Macaca fascicularis: one gene and its partners. The protein of the gene in region 2 interacts with the protein of the main gene of each other region in a pairwise test. Links are inferred from orthologs where the notes say so. Each region holds a gene or a part of one and is shown on either strand. Other genes may lie near its edges. The genes, in order: ARHGAP12, TRIP10, SH3BP1, ABL2, ARHGAP17 and WAS.

The links.
Region 1: the proteins of TRIP10 (region 2) and ARHGAP12 interact in binary tests that used the Homo sapiens proteins (3 or more experiments, as listed by UniProt). The two-hybrid records come from large-scale screens. The link is inferred for Macaca fascicularis from reciprocal best matches to the Homo sapiens genes TRIP10 and ARHGAP12.
Region 3: the proteins of TRIP10 (region 2) and SH3BP1 interact in binary tests that used the Homo sapiens proteins (3 or more experiments, as listed by UniProt). The two-hybrid records come from large-scale screens. The link is inferred for Macaca fascicularis from reciprocal best matches to the Homo sapiens genes TRIP10 and SH3BP1.
Region 4: the proteins of TRIP10 (region 2) and ABL2 interact in binary tests that used the Homo sapiens proteins (3 or more experiments, as listed by UniProt). The link is inferred for Macaca fascicularis from reciprocal best matches to the Homo sapiens genes TRIP10 and ABL2.
Region 5: the proteins of TRIP10 (region 2) and ARHGAP17 interact in binary tests that used the Homo sapiens proteins (3 or more experiments, as listed by UniProt). The link is inferred for Macaca fascicularis from reciprocal best matches to the Homo sapiens genes TRIP10 and ARHGAP17.
Region 6: the proteins of TRIP10 (region 2) and WAS interact in a two-hybrid assay, tested with the Homo sapiens proteins (2 studies listed by BioGRID). The link is inferred for Macaca fascicularis from reciprocal best matches to the Homo sapiens genes TRIP10 and WAS.

What each region holds. Positions count from the first base shown.
Region 1 is NC_088383.1:32,630,191-32,633,690, forward strand, and holds part of ARHGAP12 (rho GTPase-activating protein 12), read right to left. Parts: intron 2,991-3,500; 5' UTR 2,953-2,990; intron 1,402-2,952; 5' UTR 1,331-1,401; coding exon 647-1,330; intron 1-646. UniProt on the Homo sapiens protein: GTPase activator for the Rho-type GTPases by converting them to an inactive GDP-bound state.
Region 2 is NC_088393.1:7,506,727-7,510,226, reverse strand, and holds part of TRIP10 (cdc42-interacting protein 4), read right to left. Parts: intron 2,958-3,500; coding exon 2,810-2,957; intron 2,728-2,809; coding exon 2,665-2,727; intron 2,421-2,664; coding exon 2,316-2,420; intron 2,220-2,315; coding exon 2,091-2,219; intron 1,372-2,090; coding exon 1,225-1,371; intron 1,126-1,224; coding exon 931-1,125; intron 1-930. UniProt on the Homo sapiens protein: Required for translocation of GLUT4 to the plasma membrane in response to insulin signaling. Required to coordinate membrane tubulation with reorganization of the actin cytoskeleton during endocytosis.
Region 3 is NC_088384.1:14,000,342-14,004,544, forward strand, and holds the start of SH3BP1 (SH3 domain-binding protein 1), read right to left. Parts: upstream 2,801-4,203; 5' UTR 2,682-2,800; coding exon 2,623-2,681; intron 1,367-2,622; coding exon 1,324-1,366; intron 1,121-1,323; coding exon 1,016-1,120; intron 1-1,015. UniProt on the Homo sapiens protein: GTPase activating protein (GAP) which specifically converts GTP-bound Rho-type GTPases including RAC1 and CDC42 in their inactive GDP-bound form.
Region 4 is NC_088375.1:36,738,370-36,742,486, forward strand, and holds the start of ABL2 (tyrosine-protein kinase ABL2), read right to left. Parts: upstream 2,801-4,117; 5' UTR 2,533-2,800; coding exon 2,376-2,532; intron 1-2,375. UniProt on the Homo sapiens protein: Non-receptor tyrosine-protein kinase that plays an ABL1-overlapping role in key processes linked to cell growth and survival such as cytoskeleton remodeling in response to extracellular stimuli, cell motility and adhesion and receptor endocytosis.
Region 5 is NC_088394.1:24,023,613-24,027,112, forward strand, and holds part of ARHGAP17 (rho GTPase-activating protein 17), read right to left. Parts: intron 2,048-3,500; coding exon 1,891-2,047; intron 1-1,890. UniProt on the Homo sapiens protein: Rho GTPase-activating protein involved in the maintenance of tight junction by regulating the activity of CDC42, thereby playing a central role in apical polarity of epithelial cells.
Region 6 is NC_088395.1:48,843,038-48,845,605, reverse strand, and holds part of WAS (actin nucleation-promoting factor WAS), read right to left. Parts: coding exon 2,402-2,568; intron 1,309-2,401; coding exon 1,266-1,308; intron 1,063-1,265; coding exon 909-1,062; intron 703-908; coding exon 293-702; intron 41-292; coding exon 1-40. UniProt on the Homo sapiens protein: Effector protein for Rho-type GTPases that regulates actin filament reorganization via its interaction with the Arp2/3 complex. Important for efficient actin polymerization. Possible regulator of lymphocyte and platelet function.

The DNA of each region.
Region 1 (3,500 bases), on a different chromosome or scaffold from region 2:
GAGAAGATCGCTTGAGCCCAGGAGGTCGAGGCTGCAGTGACCCATGACTGTTCCACTGCATTACAGCCTGGGCGACAGAGCAAGACCTTGTCTTTAAGAAAAAAAAAAAAAAAAAAAACGAACCAGGAACACAGAAAAATTTTTCCAGGCTAATATTCAGTGAAATCAACTGTGGATACTTAGACACTTAAGACAAAAGTGAGCAGTTAATATTCCAATGACATCTTTCCTCAGATAACCAATTATTACCTGAAGACTTCTTGGAAACAAGTCAAAATGGGTACAGGTAGAAAACAGTAAAAATTTTTTCTATTAGAAGAAATATCATCACTGAGTAAATTAAGTAAATTCCCTCTGCCTTATACATAATCAATAGAGAAAAGGGAAAAAGAAGTTTCCACACTTAAAGTAGATCTAGTCCTGTTATGGTATAAGAATAATTATGAAAACCAAAAAGTGACCCTTTATGAACTCCACAAGTTATTTCACATATTTTCTAGATCTTTAAATCAGGATAGAACCCATGTACTCTGAAAATACAAAGCAAAACAAGTCTTAACTCTTATAAATATTTCAATTAAAAGAAAAACTATAATATTTTCACTAGGGTGGTACAAGTGTTTCCTCATTCTATTTTTAATCTTACCCTTATCTGTTCAGTGGAGCTGCTGCTAAGTTCATCACCAGATTCAGAATCCTGATGTATTCTTTCAGAGCCTTCTCCTGCGGAATCACAAGATTGTTCCTGGGAGAAGCTAGTTTTCTCTACATCCAAGAACTCTGGACCGGGAAAATGACCAAATAAGCGTGTCCTATTCTGGCTGGAAACTTTAGGAGAATGTGAGTCATTGTTAAACTTTCCGTTATTATGGGTCAGGTCCAGGCTTAGGTTGACAGTATGACCTGGATTATAACTGGGTCCAAAATTCTGATTGGCATCACGAGTAAGACCTGTTCCTTGAACAGACGACGACGGCTTTCCGAAACTTGAAAGCTCAGGCAATTTGTTCACATTTTCTGTTGATCTCTGAAGATGCAAACTCTGCATTATTTTCGTGGAGTTATTTGGTAGACCAGCTACCTGCTTAACAGGTGGCATTAGAGCTTTGCGCGTGACCTCTTTCACATACTGGGCTGGCACATAAAACGCTTTGGAGTTTTCATCCGGCTTGACTTGCCACCAGTCATCATTGGTCTTTTTCACCAAGATGTACCGCTCCCCTTGTTTTATCACAATCTTTCTATCCTTTGCTTCATATTCATAATCATATTCCACCTCAATATACACTTGTCCTGGAATAATCTTCCCACTTCTGTCAGCCATTTTCATTCAATAATATTCACCTCTCAAAAAGGATGTTATACCACATTATGGCTTTATGACTTGTTGGATGAATATAGCTGTTTTATTTAAATGGAGGAAGAGAATGAAGAAAAAAGTTAATGCAATCTGGATTTGGTACTTACTCACAAGCATCATACAGTATAGGCCATTTAAAGAACATTACTTCAAATCTCAAACCCCAAAAAGCAAACATGTGACTAATATCATATGCACTGCCACATTAAAAACACTTTCATTCTAACTGTAATCTACATTTTTCAGTCACTTATGACCAAAACAAAAGCCAATAACTGGAACAGTAAATATACACTAATTAGGCAGACACAAGAGTTGAGAAAAACTTTCCTTCCTTTCATGACTCCCTCAAACCTCCTTCACCTTCTTAGAAAAGTTCACTAATAACAACTAATATGCATTTACTTTCATTTCTATACCAATTCCAAAATATTTTAGTACCTCCTAGAACACAGCATTATGGGTTTAAATGATCACTGCATCCTCATATCACTACAGCATGAGCCAGTTCCCACCTGTTGGGGATGAATTGTGTTCCCCCAAAAGATAGTTCAAGTTCTAACCCCAGGATCTGTGACTTTATTTGTAAAGAGGGTCTTTGCAGATGTAACCAAGACAAGGTCATACTTGATTAGGGTGGGCCCCAAAATCCAATGACTGGTGCCTTTATAAGGAGAGGGAGATTAAGGGCACAGTGGTTTACACCTGTAATCCCAACACTTTGGGAGGCTGAGGCAGGTGGACGGCTTGAGCCCAGGAGTTTGAGACCAGCCTGGCCAACATGGCGAAACCCTGCCTCTACATGAATTACAAAAATTAGCTGGGTGTGATGTCATGCACCTATAGTCCCAGCTACTTGGGAAGCCGAGGTGGAAGGATCTCCTGGGCCCAGGAGTTTGAGGTTGTGGTGGGCCAAGATCCCGCCACTGCACTCCAACCTGGGTGACAGAGTGAGACTTTGTCTCAAAATAAAAAAGAAAAAAAGGAGAAGGAGATTTACAGAGAGAAAAGCTACAGAGGGAGAAGACCATCTGAAGAGAAAGGCAGAAACTGGAGTGGAGTGAAGCAGCTAAAAGCCAAGGAACACCAAGGACTGCTGGCAACCAGCAGCAGCCAGGCAGGGGTGAGGAAAGCAGGATTCTCCCCCCGAGCCTTCCGAGGGAGCATGGCCCTGCCAAAACTGATTTTGGACTTCTAGCCTCTAGACCAGTGAGAGAATAAAAATACATGTCTGCTGTTTAAGCACCCCAGTTTGTAGTATTTGTTACAGCAGCCCTAGGAAACTAATACATTCAACCCAATGCTCAAGGATCCTAAGGCAAACTGAGATTTACCAAAAATGTGTAAACCCAAGGTTCCATAACAATCTACTAATTTTCTATAGCGAACAAGTACTGAGCATATTATTGTACACTACAGGTGTAGTAACCATCATTCTCCTGAGGATAACAATCTTCTCTATGACGAAAAGCCTATAAGGCCAGGTGGTCAGTCAGTCACTGATACAATTGTAGTAACTGAAATTTACTTTCTAGACAAACTACTTGACTAATAAATTTAATACAATACAGTTTTAAAAACTAAAAAATTACCTTAGAACAAGGAGATGTACACCAGTATCAATTTAAATCTGTAAAAAAAAAAAAAAAAAAAAAAAAAAGTTCATTAACTCAAACCAAGATCGCTGAAGTAAGACTAAGAATATAATGCTGCTTACATTTTTAAAAGCAAAACTTTTTTTATAACAGCCATAAGGAACCAGGAAAGTTTTATACATCAAGATTGTGGTCAGCACCACCCTCCAAACACATGCAAACACAACCACCAACAGCCACTGAGGTTGGCTTTACCACTGCCCTCTCCCACTGTACTTCCATACTGTCTCAATTTCATTTTTTCCCTTATTTTTCATTCTGACAAGCATCTTTCTAAACTTCTGATCATATAAGAAACAACTCTTCTACTATAAAACTGTTAAGATGAAAGAACTGTTTTTCAAGTGTATGTATTGAATGGGTAAAGAGAATAAAAACATATGGTAAAAGTTATTAGGTGTCCTAACACATTTGTCCCCTGATTACTTTCTAATTATTTTATTTTTTTATCTTAATTAATTTATTTTTTGAGACAAGAGTCTCTG
Region 2 (3,500 bases):
CGGATGGACGGATGGACGCGAAAAGAAAAAAGGAAAAACAAAATGGAGAAAGAAAAAAACGGTAAGAAAACCACAACTCAAGATACACAATCACACAGAGAAAACGCATGCAGGAGCGACACAAAAACATTTGGAAGGTGGCGGGGAGGACGTTGAACTGTAAGCCCAAAAGCCAGAACTCTCACACCCCCGGTATCTCCTAGGTCTCTGGAATGTTATGTCCGGGAGCAAGCATGGGTCCAGGAGGCAGGCAGACCCATGTATCTCTGTCCACTTAGCTTTCTGGGCTGACAGTCTAGAAGACGCATGCAGGAATCGAGGTCTCAGACAGGTGTGAGGCCACGGAGGACACAAAAGATAAACAAAAATAAAACCACAAGCTGAGAGGGAGTGGAAGGCAGGAAAATGAGAGGGGTTAGCGGCGTCAGAGGTTTAAGCTCGGGGATCGCAGGTGGAAGTCAAGGAGAGGTATGAGAGTGTAAGTCAAGAGGGACCCAGAGTATAAATCAAAGGTATAAACCAAGGGTGCTAAGGTATATTAAAATCCAAAAACCCAAGAAACCAGGACGTGCAGGGCAGCTCCCGGAGTCCCATCAGCAGGATGGAGAGAGAAACTCGGGGAGTCCCCAGGGATGGTGTCACCAGCCCTCAGGCCAGCTCTGAATTCCACCAGCAGGTTTTCTCCCAGCATCCCGAGAAGCAGCAGACAAACGCCACAGACCTCCCCACCCTGCCCCCGCCTTCGCCTCGGGGGACTCCCAGGCCAAGCGGCCCGCCCGCCTTCCTTCCCTCCAGCCCGGGCTGGCAGCCAAGAGGAAAATTCCTGCCCGGGACTCGGCGTTCAGGCGGCTGGGGCTGACTCAACAGGGGCCCCACTGTCCCCACCTCACTGTCCTTCTCCCCCACCATCCCAAGGGTCCCGGCCCCCACCTTGTTCTTCTTGCCAAAGGGCCAGCGCTTGGTGCGGATGCGGCCTGGGCCTCGGAGCTCCGGTCGTCCTTCCGAGGGGGTGCCCAGACTGCTGTCCGAGGGTGCACGGTTCATGGGCTGGCTGAAGTCCTCGAATTCCACGTCGCCCGGGCGGGCAAAACCTGACTTGTGCAGCTCTATAAGGACTTGGGAGTCCTGGGGGAGGGGGACAGTGGATGAGTAGTCAAGTGACCAGCGTATGGGGACTTCCCTCCGCCCTTCCCATGGCCCACTGGACCCAGACCAGGCACCCACGTTCTTGGGATCCACAGCATTTGCAGCCACCTTCATGCCCTCCAAGCACTTGGCGATGATGGGCACCACCTCCAGCTCGGCCTCCGACAGGAGCCCATACCCGGCACCCAGGCGGGTGGCCCTGCGTTCATCCATGTCTTGGAGCTTCTGTAGGGACGGGGACAAGGGTGGCTCAGGGGTGCTAACAGAGGGACTAGAAGCACAGTGATTCACTCTGCAAATATGATCGCACTCCACGCTGGCCCCAACCCCAAGCCAGTCTGGAGGGGAAGACAGAGTCAGGAAGAGAAGAGACTCCAGCCCAGTGTGGTTGGGGAGCGACACAGTGCCAGGGGGATCTCAGAGGGGGACGCCTGCCTAGGGGGTCAGCAAAGGCTTCTCAAAGGAGGAGACAAAGGAGCAGGGATTTGAAGAAAAAGCAGAACCAGCCCTGATACTTCCAGGGCCTGGGATGGGACAGAGAATGGAGCACTAGATTGAAACAGGAGAGGGGAAATTCGAGACCTTTCAGAGAGGTTGTTAGAGGTGGAGCTTAAAATAATAAGTAGGAATTTCAAAAGGAAAGAAACCTTGCTTGAGCCCAGGGGTTCCAGGCTGCAGTGAGCTGTGATTGCGCCACTGCACTCCTGCCTGGGTGACAGAGCCAGGCCCCATCTCTCTATAGAAGTAAATAAACAAACAAGTAAAAGGCATGCCCAGCAGGAAGAACAGCTGATTAAAAGCACAGCTCGCTGTTATGATAGGTTTCTGATTCCCTTTCAATCTAGGGACTGGGACATTGCAGCTGGGGTTTTGACGAATGTGCAGGAGTTGGCTAACATTTGGGGGCTTTTGGGAAGGTAGGTCTGAGAACTGGGAGCACTCACATCAAATATCTGGGGCATCTGTGAAAAATAGAAGTGGGCTTGGTCTCGGTTGAAGCGCTGCAGTTGAGCTGCATATTCGTTTTTGCTTTCTTCGGCCATATGACTCCGAAGGTGGGCTTGCTGCTTGGCCTGAGGAATGAGGAGGTGGAAGGTACTACCAGGTTCTGGTCACGTCCCACCCGGACCCCCTAAGCTTGTCCCAGACCCCGCCACCCCCTCACACACCTTCTCCACGTCAGCCTTGGTGGCGTTGATATCCTGGTCTAGCCGTTCAGCAGTCTGGGCTGCCTTCTCTGCCTCCCGGCAGTCCCGCTCAAATTTACGCTTACTCTGTGTAGGGTAGGGGACAGAACCAGAGTGAGGGAGCCACCCTCCCAAAGACAGCAGGGTGGGAAACCAAGGTTTCAGGGATTGTTGGGATGTCAACCAGTAAGTAGGGGACAAGGGCGTACTAGAAGCCTATGGGGCAGGGAAGGACCAGGTCTGACAAAGAGGGCAGGTCCCTGACTCCAGGATCTGCAACCCTGACCCCCGTGCCTCCGGGCCACAGTCACTGCCACCTCTGCAAACTCACATTCTCCAGCTGTTTGAAGCCGTTTTCCAGCTGCTGCTGGGCCCGCCGCCCTTCTTGGAAGTGCTACAGAAAGAAGAGCGATAAGGCTCGCCAGAGTTCCAGCAGGAGCCCTTCCCAAAACCTGAATCGGAGGGGAGTTCCTCACCATCTTCCTCTCCTGTTTCATCTCTTGTGAGTACTTGGTCAGCTCAAGACAGACACGGACACTGAGGTTCTCGGCCACCAACTCCCGCTGGCCTGCAAAGTCATTCACCTCCTGGAGAATCTGTACGAAGGACTGTTGCTGGCTGAATCTGGGGTAGGATGAGAATCGGGGAACAGGGAGTCAGGCCCCCCAAATAGGCTGATGCCCCAGGACGCACCTCCAGGTGGAAAAGGGTTAAGCCCCAAGAATTTAATCCTTGAAGCAATGACAAGTTGTGGTCCATATTCCTTAACCCCAACCTTTGAGTAGAATTTTTTTTTTTTTTTTTTTTTGAGACAGGGTCTTGCTGTCACCCAGGCTGCAGTGCAGTGGCATAATCGTGTCTCACTGCAGCCTCAAACTCCTGGGCTCAAGTGATCCTCCCACCTCAGGCTCCCAAATAGCTGGGACCACAGCCACACGCCACCATACCTGACTAATTTTTTTTTTTTTTTTTTTGAGATGAGGTCTCAAACTCCAATCCCCCCGAACTCCGCCTGTTCCCGCCTCACCCTCCCAAAGTGCTGGGAGTACAGGTGTGAGCCACTGCACTGGACCTCGAATGTATTTTGGAACACAGAATTTTCCAGTTTTTAAAGATGGTATACTGAGGTCAAGAGATCAAGACCATCCTGGCTAACACGGTGAAACC
Region 3 (4,203 bases), on a different chromosome or scaffold from region 2:
AGGCCAGCCCCTTGGGGGCAGGTGAGGAGGGAACCCAGGAATGCCACAGTCCCAGATGAGAGTGGAAACAAGATGACAAGGCATGGTGTGGGTGACATTTCCCTGAGACCATGGATGGAGCCCCTCCCCATCTGGAGTGCCCTTTTCCTCTTCCCAGAAGCCACTTGACTGGGCAGGAAGGGATGACCAAGTCCTACTGCAGACTGGGAAACTAAGATGCAGGGAGGGCAGGGAGCTTGCCCCAGGTCACACGGGTGGAGGGAGAATGGGAGGGGGAGCTGGCCTGGGAATGGGGGCTCTTTCCCCTGTGCCAGGGTATATGTGGCTGACCTAGCCACTGCTGAGCTCAAACGCCCTATGACTCCCAATTTCCTTGTCTTGGCCACACTGAATTGTCAACTGATTCCAAAACATGGCCCCACACTCCCACCCCATCTGGAGTTACGGAGAATGCCTGCTTTGGGATCAGAGACCAGGGTTCAAACCTCAGTTCTGCCACTTACTGGCTATATGACCTTGGGCAAGTGACTTTACCTCTAAGCCTCCAATTCCTCATCTGTAAAACAGTGCCTTTCCCTAGGGTTGTTGCCAGTGTTCCATGAGACAATGCGCTAATATGTTAGCAATAGGCTGGCAGTTATCAGCCAATAAACACTGCCCCTTGATTAATACATGAGTATCCCTCAAAAGCCAGCTCAATTGCTACCTCCTTCAGGAAGCCCTCTGAGGCTGCCCCATTGAGAGCCTGCTCTGCATGCTGAGTGGACAGAGAAGTTCAGGTGCTGGCAGAGGCCTGGCCTTGGCTTATGGGGATTGGTGCACAGGAAAGTGGGGTAAAGGTGACAGGGAAGGTACAGGGCCTTTTGAGTGCAGTGCCAGAGAGGCCTTGGAACAGAGCAGTCTCCATGCCCTTGGTGCCACTCAGACTGGCAAGGAAACCCCAGCCCCGACTTTGCTTCCCCATTGGACGGAAGTCTCCTGCTCAGGCTCCTCCTTCCCAGGACCCCCGACTCACCACCCGCTTGTCCATGTCTGCCCCACTCTGGCCCTGCAGACAGGCCTGCAGCCGCTTGTGGACGTTGTGGGCTGCTCGCTTGGCCGGCTCCAGCCGCTGTTCTACCTGGCAAGGAGGTTTGGAGGTTAAGGATCAAGAAAAGTTGTCTCCCCCTGAGCAGGAAACTTTCTCCTGTCCCCTGGGGACCCCATGGCCAACAGCTTGAGGAATGACTCAACCCGGGCCCCTAGCTGGCATCCCCGCCCTGGCCCTCTGCTCCGACAGCCTGCACAGGCCTGCCTTCCCACCCGCCCGGCCCAGGCACGTACCTGCAGCAGGTCCTCACCCAGGAACTCAGCGGTCTCCGGGGTGCTGCGGGGGGAGAGCGCTTCTGCTGAGCCTGCCTGGGTTAGAACGCCCCCTACTCCCCCTCCCCGCAGCAGGGCACCTGGACCCCAGTGCCTCCACTGTCCCTCCCAGGTGCGGCCCGCCCTGGGTGGCCCAGTTGCCTCATCCCAGTCAGAGCACATTCCATGGGGGTGGGAATAGGATACATGGGTTTTTCCTCCTCCACCCAGGGCTGTGTCCTGAAAGAGGGCGGACAGATGAAACTGAAGGGGAGGCTGGGAGACCCACCCAGGGCCTAGCTTTGGGACACAGAAGCCTCTCTTCTGCCCACTCCCAAATCCTCGGCCCACCCCAGGATGAGGAGTATTAGCTGGCTCCAAGAACGGGAAGTGCGGGAGCTCAGAGTCCTAGGCTCAGTCACACAGCACTCTGGACTACAGCTGTGGGCAGGGGTGCACAGGCCCCTGGACCCCACCTGGGGACACATGGGGGATGCCGAGGCCCATGGCAAGGTGGCCTAACTGCCCAGGCTACGTAGGCATCTGTGCCAGTGGGAGACTAGAACTAGGTCTCTGGACACCCGGTCCCCTCCCCGGACCCAGAGAATGGGGAACTCCTGAGGCAGGGGAAGAGGAGCAGAGAAGACAGGCCCTCAGAGGCTCCCCAAACTTCCGGCGTCCGTGCTACCGGCTCAGAGGCTGGGGGTGGGAGCTGGGAGACCTGGGGATGTTTCCACCTGAGTCTGGGAAAAGCAGAAACAAGACAGAGAAGCAGGAGGCCCCTGAGGTGGGGGGAGGGGTAAGGGAACGGACGCCGCAGGCCAGGGGCAGGCCCCTCCTCCCGCCAGGCCAGGACCCGTCTCCTCCCCTCGCCCCAGGTCTGCGGCCCTAAATGGACCCTCCTCCCTCCCCAGCCCAGCAAGCAGAGGTGGTGAACTGCCCCATTGTCCAGAGGGAACAAGTGAGGTCAGGAGGACCATCCACTTAGAGACTCGTGGAGGCAGAGAAATCTGTGTCCTAGGGCAGAGAGCATTCTCCCGCCTGAAGCCCCCTCCAATCCAGTAAGGGGGGGCATCCCTTCCCGCAAAGGCCACCCCTGCTCCTCCAGCTCTGCCCGAGAGACGGGGGCGGCGTTCAGAAGGGAGGAAGAGAGGGTCTGGCCGCTCAGAGAGTGGCTGCTCAGCTGTCCCCAGTCTCCCCCATCCCCGTCTCCCCCCACCCTTTTACGACCCCTCAGGTCCTGCCGGGGTAAGAGTGGGGCTGGAAGGGGGTGACACTCACCGTCCCAAGCTGCCCGTCTGGGCCAGCTGCCGCATGCGGTGCAGCTGCCTCTTCATCATCTTGGGGGCGGGCTGGGGGCTGCGGGGTCACGGCGGGGGTCGCGGGCCCGGGCAGCCCCCGGCCCAGCCTGCCTCTCCTGCGGCGCGGCTCTCGCCCCGGATGGGTGGGCGGCGCTCTCGCTTCCTGGGCCGCCGCGCGGCTCTCGCTGGCGGCCGGCTCTCTCCTCCCCCGCTCACGACTCCGCCCCCGGCCCCCAGGTCACTCCTCTCTCCAAGTTGGTTTCCTCGCCCTCCCCCGGCTTCCGGGCCCCCCGGCGACCCCCGGCCGGGCCCCCGCTGCTGTGAGTCCGCCGGCCGCGGCCGTCCACAGGTTGTGCCCCGCTCCTCCTCCCCGCAGCGCCCCGCCCAGCCCTGGTGGCGGGAAGCAGGTAAGCCCGTTCCTGCCCCCGCGCCCGCAGCCCGCCCCAGATGGGGTGCCTGCCCCACCCGCAGCCGGCAGGCCCAGGGTATAAATAACCTTTGCATCCCTCGCAAAGGGGAAAGAGGGTGCCAAGCGAAGGAGGGATGGGCCTTTCTGACCTGTCCTGGCCCCTCTGGACTTGCAGGGATACTGCCCTGCACTCCCTCCCGCAGAGGACCTCTGGCCCCCTGGAACTAAACCCCCCACCACTCGATGACTGGCTGGAAGCTTTGGCTTCCTGGGGCCAAGGGCTGCTGTGTGGCCGTGGACAAGTCCCTGGAACTCCAGACTCGCTTGTCTCTAATGGTCTAATGGGCCAGCTGTCCTGGGCCTGCCCATCCCGCAGAGTGGACAAGACACCCCTGCCTGCTCCTTTTAAGGGAGGTGTGTGCCATCCCCCCAGCCACCAGGAACCCTCCCAGAGCAGTTCCCGACACCCTGTTCTCCACATCTCCCGGCAGTTTGCTCCATCTGTGAAGCTCATCTCCTCTCATTCCTCCTGGCAAATGGCCTCAGTCCCTCTTCCTTCTTGTAGGGCAATGATGTGGGTGCTGCTCTGACGGCCCCCAAACTCAGTAGTTCTCTTTGGCCCTCCCCTCAACACAGAGTTAGGCATACAGTAGTTGCTCCATAACTGCTGGTTATACAAAATGTGAGAGCCTTTGGGAGACAGTAGGCTCTCCTTACCCTGCACTGCTGTGGCATCAGGAGCCGCAGGGGTGGGGAGGAGGGGAGGGTGTGCCGCAGAGTCCTGCCACACCCTCTGCACTTTGCTTTGTTAGTTTCAGTTTAGTTTGAGACTAGAGCCACTACTGTGTTCCGGTGCAGACTGGGCGTCTCTCAGAGGCAGGACCTTGGCCCCACACATCTCCATTCTCCTAGTGCCCAGCACTGGGCTTGGCACACTCACTGGCTGCTTCTCTCTTCCCTAATGAGGCAGGCCTCATTGGGGTGGGAGGAGCTGAGAAGGGAACCCAACAGCTGCCTGCTATGGCCAGAGCCTCCCAGACGGGAGCCCACCTGAGTGTGGAATCCTGGTAGGAAGTTGGGAGGCTCCAAGATCAAAGCTCAGGCCAGGATGAGATGTCAGGCAAGGTTCCTTCCCCCATCTCCCTTTTCCCA
Region 4 (4,117 bases), on a different chromosome or scaffold from region 2:
CTTAACAAATACTCCAAAGTGATCTCTCTTCTTTCATCCTCTATCAAATCATAAAGTCCTTTAAGTTCCAAAGGGCAGGGACTCTGTTATGTTCACAGCAACATTCCCACAACCTAGTATGTAATAGGTGCTCAAAAAAACCCCTTGTTTGTTGAATGAATGAAAGGCCCCTTGAAATTACTCCTCCTATTTCCACTGCCACCACTCAAGGCCAGTCTTTCAGGTGAAGACTAGCCAAGCAGGTAAACGAATATAAACTTCTCTGCCAGATTTTCCATAACCCAGTCCCATCCAGCCTATCAAAATTTTCTTTCTACTGCTTCTTAATTAGAATCATAAAATCTTAAAATCAGAAAGTATCTTAGAGATCATCCAGTCCAACCTCCTCACTTTACAGATAAAGAAACCCAAAGATGGTGACTAAAATCACCCAGCCAGGTGGAGCCAGAACCAGAACTCGACTCTTCCAATTTTTGCTCTATGATCTTTTTCTTCCAACTCATAATGATGCTTCATTCCTGACAGATGTCTCCTCACTATCCTATCATCAAATTATATCTATTCCCATGTTCTTGCTCAAGTTGTTTCTTCTGCCCAACCTGTTCTCCCTCTCCATGGATCCAAATCCTCAAAATGTCTTCCTATTCCATTCTTCACTACTTCCTCTTTCTTGGAAAATCTTATATACCGAATAAGATAGTAGAGGAGGAGGATCATCACTGCCTACTAGGCCAAGTTTAATGCATAGTAACACTTCCCACAAAGTGAAGCTTACTTGGATGATTTCTTCCCTGTAAACTACTAATCCATTCTTCCATCCTATGTTTTAGGAAGTCATTTTAATAAAGATTAGCTCATATATCACCTTCACAAAGTGTTCATATACCTGAAAGAGACACTCAAGCACATCTTTAATAGGAGACATGTGGCCAGGCGCAGTGGCTCATGCCTGTAATCCCAGCACTTTGGGAGACTGAGGCGGGTGGATCATGAGTCAGGCGTTCCACACCAGCCTAGCCAACATAGTGAAACCCCATCTCTACTAAAAATACAAAACATTAGCCAGGCATGGTGGCGGGCGCCTGTAATCCCAGCTACTCAGGAGGCTGAGGCAGGAGAATCACTTGAACCTGGGAGGCGGAGGTTGCAGTGGGCCAAGATCGTGCCACTGCACTCCAGCCTGGGTGACAGAATGAGACTCTGTCTCAAAAAAAAAAAAAAAAGAGTTGCGGCAAGGAAAGGTGGCCCACACCCGTAATCCCAGCACTTTGGGAGGCCAAGGCAGGCGGATCACCTGAGGTCAGGAGTTCGAGACCAGCCTGGCCAACATGACAAAACCCCGTCTCTACCAAAAATACAAAAATTAGCCAGGCGTGGTGGTGCGCACCTGCAGTCCCAGCTACTCGGGAGGCAGGAGAATCACTTGAATCCGGGAGGCGGAGACTGCAGTGAGCCGAGGTCCCGCCATTGCACTCCATAATGCGCACTAAAGCGAGACTCTGTCTCAAAAAAAAAAAAAAAACAACAACAGTTTGGAGACAACTATTCTAAAAATACATTGACAATGAGATCAAAATAATAGGTTTCAGACTACAGGGAGCACACATACATGTAAGTATGTATATGGGCACGCGAACACACACACACTACGAAGGGGAAAAATACTGACTGAAGTCCTAACCATGCCCACCAACCTCTAACCCTTGCCAGCAATCTCAGAATTGTGTGTCCTACTCTGAAGCATAGTACAGAGGCTTTGGCAAAGCCTTTCACTTCTAGTAAAAACGAAATACAAAACAAAACAAACCACAAAAGCATGTCAAAAGTGATGAGATGCTACCTTCATCTTTCCTACAGAAAGGCATTTCTGGGCACTCCACAGTTCACTATCGTGACACTGCTCATCACCTGACGTAAACACATTACCTTCTACGCCACAATCTCCTGAAATTCGGTTCCTATTTCCCAGTCCCTTAGGACACAACCCATTTCCCCTTCACTAACGACGGGTTTATGCTCCCACCTCTGGGACTGAGCTCATACTGCCCTTCATCCTTCCCTCTCCTGAAGCTGCCATTCACTCTCTTTCTCCAGCCGCATAGTCCCGTCCCAGAGTAGAGGACAGACCATCCAGGGTCCCCAAGCCCACTTCTCTTTCCTTCTCCGCCCCCGGGATCTGCCAGCCAAGCTGGAGACGCGAGGGGGGAGGGGTGTGACTCGCCTCCCAGGACTGAACCAGATGGCAGCAGATTCCGCCCCCACTCTCAGGCACCCTCCACCCCCGACCCCCCGGGCAGCCCGTCCGTCACCCACCCCGCCCCGACCCCACCCCCGGCCTCCCGCACGCCCTCACGCCGGCTCCCGGACACACTCACCATGCTGGGTGAAGATATTGAAGCCGGTCTCTGTGGTGCGCCCCGCCGGGTCCCGCCTGCGGCCGGAGGGCCTGGCTGCACTGCTGCCCCGGATCCCGCGGGGCTGAGGCTGCTGGAGCCCCGGAGCCTCCCCGACGCGGCCCACCTGCTGCCCCATCCCTGCTCTCGCGTACTCCCGCGCCCCCGCCGACCCCTGGTCACATTCCTCCTCGACTCCGGCCTCGGGCTCCTGGCGCTGCTCCGGCCTCTCCCTCCCAGCCCAGACCCTGGCCCTGAGAGGCTGGGGCGCCGGCGGCTCCGCACCCGGACTCCTCACGGCAGCCGCCGCACTGCCTCCAGGCGACTCACAGATTCTGCTTTTCCCTCCTCCTCCCGCGGCTCCGCGCCCCAAACGCCGCCGCTGCCGCCGCCGCCATCTTTAAACCACCGAGCGCTGGGAAAGCGTGGGACAGAGCGTCTCCCGCCCCCCGCCCCCCGCCCGCCAGTCACCTCCGCCGCTGGGAAGGAGGGCTTCCCGGCTGCCGCCCCGCCTTGCCGCGCCGCGCCCCCGCCCCCGCCTCTTCGCAGGGTGGGTCCCCCAGTGCCCACCTCAGTTGGCGACCACCGCTGCTGCAGTCTTTCGTCCTCCGAGTCCTGTCGCCGCACCTCGGCATCCCACCCCTCAATCCGCCTCAGCCGACCCCCTCCCACGTTCGGCTCCACACGCTACTGCCTTTGGGGTTGGTCGGTCTCCGGCCTTCCCCATCCCACTTCCACCTGTCAAATCAGTGAGTCGAGGGCTGAGTGCCCCCGCGTGCGCCCCTCAGGTGCAGGCACAGGTGGGGCAGAAAAGCACAAGGCATTTATTTGGTCCTTGCCATCCAGTTGAGGATCTCTGAAATGCCCAGGGGGATCCCTTTAAATACCCTTGTCAGCAGCAGGCCTCCAGTAAAAATTAAAATGGTATAAAATTTACAAGAAGAGAGTAAAATGCTACCTTATTTGATTTTAATTTTTGGAGATTATTTCATGATGTTAAATCGCACTCGCCTGGATTGTGTGCCTTCTATAGTCTCATTGGGGACGCAATTGTAGCCCCATTCCTCATATTATATTACCATGAATTCCTCTTGAACTCCTATCTCACCACATGTGAGTTTCTGTTTCCCTTACAATGCCTGACAGTAAAGTTAATCTTCCCACTGGCATCCTTTATACACTGTGCACGTGGTCAGGTCTTCTTTTGATGACAAAGGAGAAAAAATATACATCTTTGACCCTGTTTCTGAGTCAGAACTTACTCATGTTAGCTTATGCGGTCTAAAGAGGGTGAATGAGGCAGGAAAGAAGTGTTTTATACACACACGTATACTATATACAATTGACTCGCCATGCCCCTCTCCCACGGTGCTTACTTGCATCTTAATGTTAATTCAAATTTTTTAATTCTCAAAAAGCTCGATCATTCTCCTGTTATTCTTTTGGCTTCCCAATTTGCTTTATGAAAAGTATAAGTTAATGGAGGTAAAAAAAAAAAAAAAAAAACACTGAAATTTTGCTTAAATTAGACAGGACGGGAGCCACTGCAAAGAAGGAACAAAACAACCACTGGAAAGGTAGGGTTGGGAGAGGAGGTGGATGGAGCTCTCCTTTGCATATCTTTCCTGAACCAGGTTGAACTTAGATGAACCATCCACTGACGTAGATATTGCCTGTTATAAAAGCACTATGAAATTATTCCATTGCCATCCAGGGTGTGGCCA
Region 5 (3,500 bases), on a different chromosome or scaffold from region 2:
AAAAAAAATTTTTTTTTAGAGACGGGGTCTCACTACATTGCCCAGGCTCTCAAACTCCTGGCCTCAAGTAATCCTCCTGCCTTGGTCTCTCAAAGTGCTGAGATTACAGGCATAAGTCACCACGTCTGGCCCATTTCCATACTTCCTAGTTCCCATCTCAAATCTGTTTTTGGGGAATGAAACAGAAGTCAAGTCCAGAAGGCCTACCAATGGTAGTATAAGGTTATCACACCACACTGCCTCTTAACTGAGATGAGATGTAGAAACAACCCTATGTGCATATGCAAACCCTACATCTGAAAGACACAGAAGGCTGGAAAAGCTGGGCGCGGGGGCTCACATCTGTAATCCTAGCACTTTGGGAGGACAAGGCGGGAGGATCGCTTTAGCTTGGAAATTCAAGACCAGCCTGGGAAACATTGTGAGGCCCTGTCTCTACAAAAAACTTTTTTTAGAAAATCAGCTAGGTGAGGTGGTGTGTGCCTGTTAAGTGGCTGAGGTGGGAGAGCTGCTTAAGCCCAGGAGGTCAAGGCTGCTGTGAGCCATGTTCATACCACTGCACTCCAGCCTGGGCACATAACCCTGTCTCAAAAAAACAAAAAACAAAAAGACTGGAAAAAACTGTTGCTTTGAGGAAGGGAATGGTGGCTGGATGCGGCTGGAGGATAGGGTGGAAGGAAGGCTGACTTTTCACTTAAGCCCACTGATCTATGAACTTAGCAACTTTTTCTTTCAGTTCAGAAAGTAAAAAGATACCTGGCTTCCTGAGCTTGTGCTTACTGGCTCAGCTGGCAGGGAGAATACACAAGGCAGGTAACTGAGAATTGTCTGCCATGTGCTAACTAGACTCATGCACTGTTTTCTGTAACTTAAAATATATGAAAGCTAATTTTGTTACGGGTAGAGTTTGTCATCAGGAAATACTACTGAATGTATGAACGAGGGTTCAGAGAGGTAATATGTCACACAGAATAAATGTGGATTTTGGACGGACAGAATACGGACAGAATAATGCATTCTCCTTTGCTAGGGGTAAAAAGCGCAAAACCAAGAACAAGAAACAAATAAACAGCACACCTCACTATAAGATTGAGCAATTAAAATAAGAGTTTGTTACTTTGTTTTAATGTAAAACTATTTCTAGTAATATTGTTTCATATACCAAGACAAACATATTACTTCCAACAGGCCTCTTAACTGTTAGCATTCCTAGTGAGTACAGTGGCATTTCATCACACACATGGGACAGGTTGGCATCTAAAGGTACAAATCACAAATAGTTTTAATTACCCTTGAAAATCCCATGAATTGCCCATAGAAAAGAGTATATAGAGACACACTGCTTCTCACTAAGTTCAATACTGCCATTTTTTTTTCTTCTAGAAGTGGCAAATACTGAGGTTTTCCCCACTGAACATCAAATTCAGTGGTTGGCTTCCATTGTGGGGCCATTATTACACCAGAAATATGTCTCCTTAAATACCAAATCACTCAACTCACTGTGCCAGGTGGGTGTTCTCACACTCAATTCTGGACAAAAGTCCACACTATCAAACTGACTTTCCTTTCTCTTTCCCCCCACTCAAGGACATTTAGGTCAATTTTAACATGTGTATGATGCTGTCCCACTGCAGGGTTTACCAAGTACACCACCAAGTTAAGCTGGAATACACGTGGAAGAAAGGTTAACTGACAAGCTTTACACACTGACTTTATGGGGAGATCAGTGCTTGGAATGACCTACAGCAGAATTACAGAAACTATCTGGATGCCATCAGCCACAGGTGGATGGGGACCACTCTCAAATCCCAAGTCCATTGAGCGATACCAGATACCATGGGTCTAACAATATATTTACTGCTGGTTTGGAAGTGAATGGTCGAATCATACCTTTCCTTCTTCATCAGGTCTCCTTCCATCACCGCCATGCTAGCAGGCCGCTTCCTCTCCAGGGTCCCCGAGTCAGAGTCGTTTCCAGTGTGGGAAGAGTGATTAGAATTCGGGGTGGTGAGAGGTACAAATGCTTCCGATACATTAAATTCCACCTCTGCAAGAGGAAAAATAAACAAGTGTATGAGACACGGAGCACAGCAGGCGAGGGAGCTCTAGGACACCCCTCATTGGAACGGGGACCTCATTCTTCAGTCCACAGTCCCCACTATTTCAAAATGGAAGCTCCAGGCACTCATGTGGCAAGAATGGTCCATCAAACCAGTGGGAAGTAACAAAAGAGGACAAGACAGGGGAAGAAGTATGGGTCAGAATATAAGTTACACAACTTTTGTGCTTTCTCCTTTGTGGAAAAAAAAATACAAATCTAGAATGCAGAAGAGGATGATGAACACAGATCACTTATTTAAATCATTCAAAGAGATATTTAGCTGGGCATGGCGGCTCATGACTGCAATCCCAGCACTTTGGGAGGCTGAGGCAGGCGGATCACTTGAGGTCAGGAGTTCAAGACCAGCCTGGCCAAGAAAGTGAAACCCCATCTCTACTAAAAATACAAAAAATTAGCTGGGTGTGGTGATGTATGCCTGTAAACCCAGCTATTCAGGAGGCTGAGGCAGAAGAACTGCTTGAACTTGGGAGGCAGAGGTTGCAGTGGGCCGAGATCTTGCCACTGCACCCCAGCCTGGGTGACAGAGTGAGACTCCGTCTCAAAAAAAAAAAAAAAAAAAAAATTTATACTTTGATATAAAATAGAAATATAAGGCAACATAAAGTTAATGACATTGAAGGCACCCCTCCCGAGGAAATCTCAACTGCACAACCTCCTACTATGCCCCAATGCAGCAGAAAGCAGTTAGAGCGGTCGTCAGCCAACCTCCCCAACAGCACTTGGGTTTTCCTGTTGAGAGGGGGGACTGAGAGAGGACTAGCTGGATTTCCTAGGCCGACTAAGAATCCCTAAGCCTAGCTGGGAAGGTGACCGCATCTACCTTTAAACATGGGGCTTGTAACTTAGCTCACACCCGACCAATCAGGTAGTAAAGAGAGCTCACTAAAATTTGCTAATTAAGCAAAAACAGGAGGTAAAGAAATAGCCAATCATCTATTGCCTGAGAGCACAGTGGGAGGGACAATGATGAGGATATGAACATTACTGGCATTCGAGCCAGCAACGGCTATCCTCTTTGGGTCTCCTCCCTTTGTATGGGAGCTCTGTTTTCACTCTATTAAATCTTGGGAAAAAAAAAAAAAGGCAACATCAAGTTTATACTGCCTCTAGCAGTTTTTGCAAGACTCATTTCCTCAAAGGAAATCTTGAGCAGAATGCTAGCCTTCATTCATCCATCCCATCTTCCAGGGGCAACATACAAGAATGAGGCGTGACTCTTGATGGTGACAAAACAGTGGTGAAGAAAAGACGGGTATCGTGGGGCTTGCACCCCACGGGACATGGCAGCAGGGCTGCTCTGGGGGAAGTAGGTGTGGGGGATCCAGAGTTCTAACACTTGCCTGGCCAGCATCCCCAAAGGGGGCCATGGGAACCTCTG
Region 6 (2,568 bases), on a different chromosome or scaffold from region 2:
GTGGGGGCTGCAGCGCTGAGCTCTCTGGGGCCCCAGGGGTCTGCAGCAGGCAGGGGTCAGCACAGAGGGCTCAGGGCCTGGGAAAGGAGCATTTCTCCCCGCCCCTCCATCAATATTTTCCCTCCCACACATTCCAGTACCCTTCAAGGCTTCCCACCAACCTTTCCACCCTATCACTGAATCCCCAAGGCCTGGCACTCTCCTCCGTCCTGGCCTCAGCCCTCCAGTATCCTGACTTACATGGGTACCCCAGAGTTCCAGACCCCCAATCTTCCATCCTACTTGTCCTCACCTTGTTCAGCTGAATTCCCTGCCGGATTTGATCCAAAAGCGCTCCCCGACCCCCACCAGGGGCCAGGCCCCCGGCAGGCACCAGAGCAGGAGGGAGTAGGGGAGGGGCTGGTCCATTCCCGGAGCTGGGTGGCGGTGGCGGTGGTGGTGGTGGTGGTGGTGGCATGGGTGGCCCACCAGCTCCAGGGGGTGGTGGGGGTGGTGGTCCAGAACGTCCAGTAGCTGGAGGGGGTGGTGGTAGAGGGCCCCCTCGGCCTGGGGGTGGGGGTCCCCGGGGCGTTGGTGGGGGTGGGGCAACCCCCAAAGGTACAGGGGGCAGTGGACCAGAACGACCCTTGTTACCCCCCACAATAGGGGGCCGAGGGGGCTGGTTCCCTCCTCGAGATGGCGGTGGGGGCGGCGGAAGTGGCTCTGTGGAGGGAGTATAACACATAGCTGTAACTTTCATTGATTTCTTCTGAGCCTCAGTTTTGCTCATTTGTAAAATGGGTACCCCCACTGACCAACTCCTGACTGAAGCAGTATAGGTGCTCCCATAAGGACTGAGTGACTTAGTGAATCTCTTAGCTATGAGCTGCTAGGGCTGGAGAAGGGAACGTATGGAAGCAGGGGCTCACCCTGGCGCCTCATCTCCTGCCGCACAGCCTCCAGCCCACCCTGGTCCTCAATGAAGTCGTAGATAAGTTTAGAGGTCTCGGCATCGGTGAGCTGGGCCTCGCTGATTCCTGCCCTGGAGAACAGACTCCGTAGATCTGGGTCGAGGTTGTTCACCTGCCCAGGAGGAAAAAGGCCAGGGGCGGGAGTAGAGGAATAAGGTGAGGAGAGCAGCGACACGGATTGTCGTTGGGTTCATCCCAGCAAGGGATCTGAGAAGGGTGTGGGAAGGGCACGGTCTGGGCGTGGGGTCTCAGCAGTGGTCTTTGGAAGGGTGGGTGGAAGTTTAGTGGAGTCCGAGAGACTCTGAAGTTACTCACGTCAAATCCATTCTGGGGGTCCCACCCCACATGGGTGACATGCCTGGGAGAGGTGAAGAGACTCCAGTGAATCCCCACTGCCCTTCCTTCCCTCCTTTTGTAGTGAAGCCCTCTTGCCCTCTCCTGCTCAGAGAGACTCTGAGGGGCCAGAATTAATGAATGAGACTGAATGAATGAATGAGTATGGGCAGCAGTTACGGAATTAGAAGGGCTTCATAGTTTGTGGTGCTGATCCATTCACCCATCCCTCTTTCCCCATCTATTCACCCACGCATTTGTCCACCTATTCATTCACATTCATCTGTTGGATTACTGATCTGTCCATACATCTGTCTCTGCAACTATCTGCCCACGTTTGTCTGTTCACCCATTTGTCCACCAATCTGTCCTCACACACACTTGTCCATCCGCCCATCCACCTACCCATGTGCCCACCTTTCCATCTATCCATTCACACATTTTTCTACCCATGCAACCACACACTTCTGTTCACTTATCCATTGAACTGTCCATTCATTCACATATCTGTCCACCTGTGCCATCCCCATCCACCTTGTCTGTGAGCCAATCAGCCTGCATATCAATCTGTCCACACACTCATCCACTCACCCATCCATCTACCATGCACCTCCCATCAACCCATCCACCCATCAACCTGTCCGTCCAACCACTTACCCATTCATTCTTCAACCCATTCATTCATCCATTTATTTATCCATCCATCCACCCATCCACTCACCCACCTACCCACCAGCCCCCCTCATCCATCATCTGCCTCATCTATCTATCCATTCATTCACCTGCCCACCCACCTGCTCCCCTAACAGCCCACCCAGAGTGGGCCCAGGCTGAGGCAAGTGAGGTGCCTAGGGTGCAAAATTTAAGTGAGTCACTCACTCTCAGAGTCAGGAATTACAGTTGCATGCCTCTGAGAGTGAGTGCCTCCTTAAATTTTGTACCCTTGGTGCCTTATTTACCTCTCCCTAGACCCAGCCCTGCACCTACCCATCCATCCACTCATTTACCCACTCAGCCACCCAGCCATCTGCCCTTCCTTCCATCGTCTCAGCTGTCCACTTGTTCATGTGCCCCTCTGCCCCCAGGAATCTGTGGGCCCACTGGGGACTGGTTCTCACTTGAATCCACTGGGTGCACCAATATCAGCTTTGCTGATCTTCTTCTTCCCTGAGCGTTTCTTATCAGCTGGGCTAGGTCCAGGTGCTGGGAGCCCACGGTATCGTGAACTCGTGATGTCAGGGTTCTGGATGTCCACTGTCGCCAGCCCCAGGGAGAGCGGACCCAC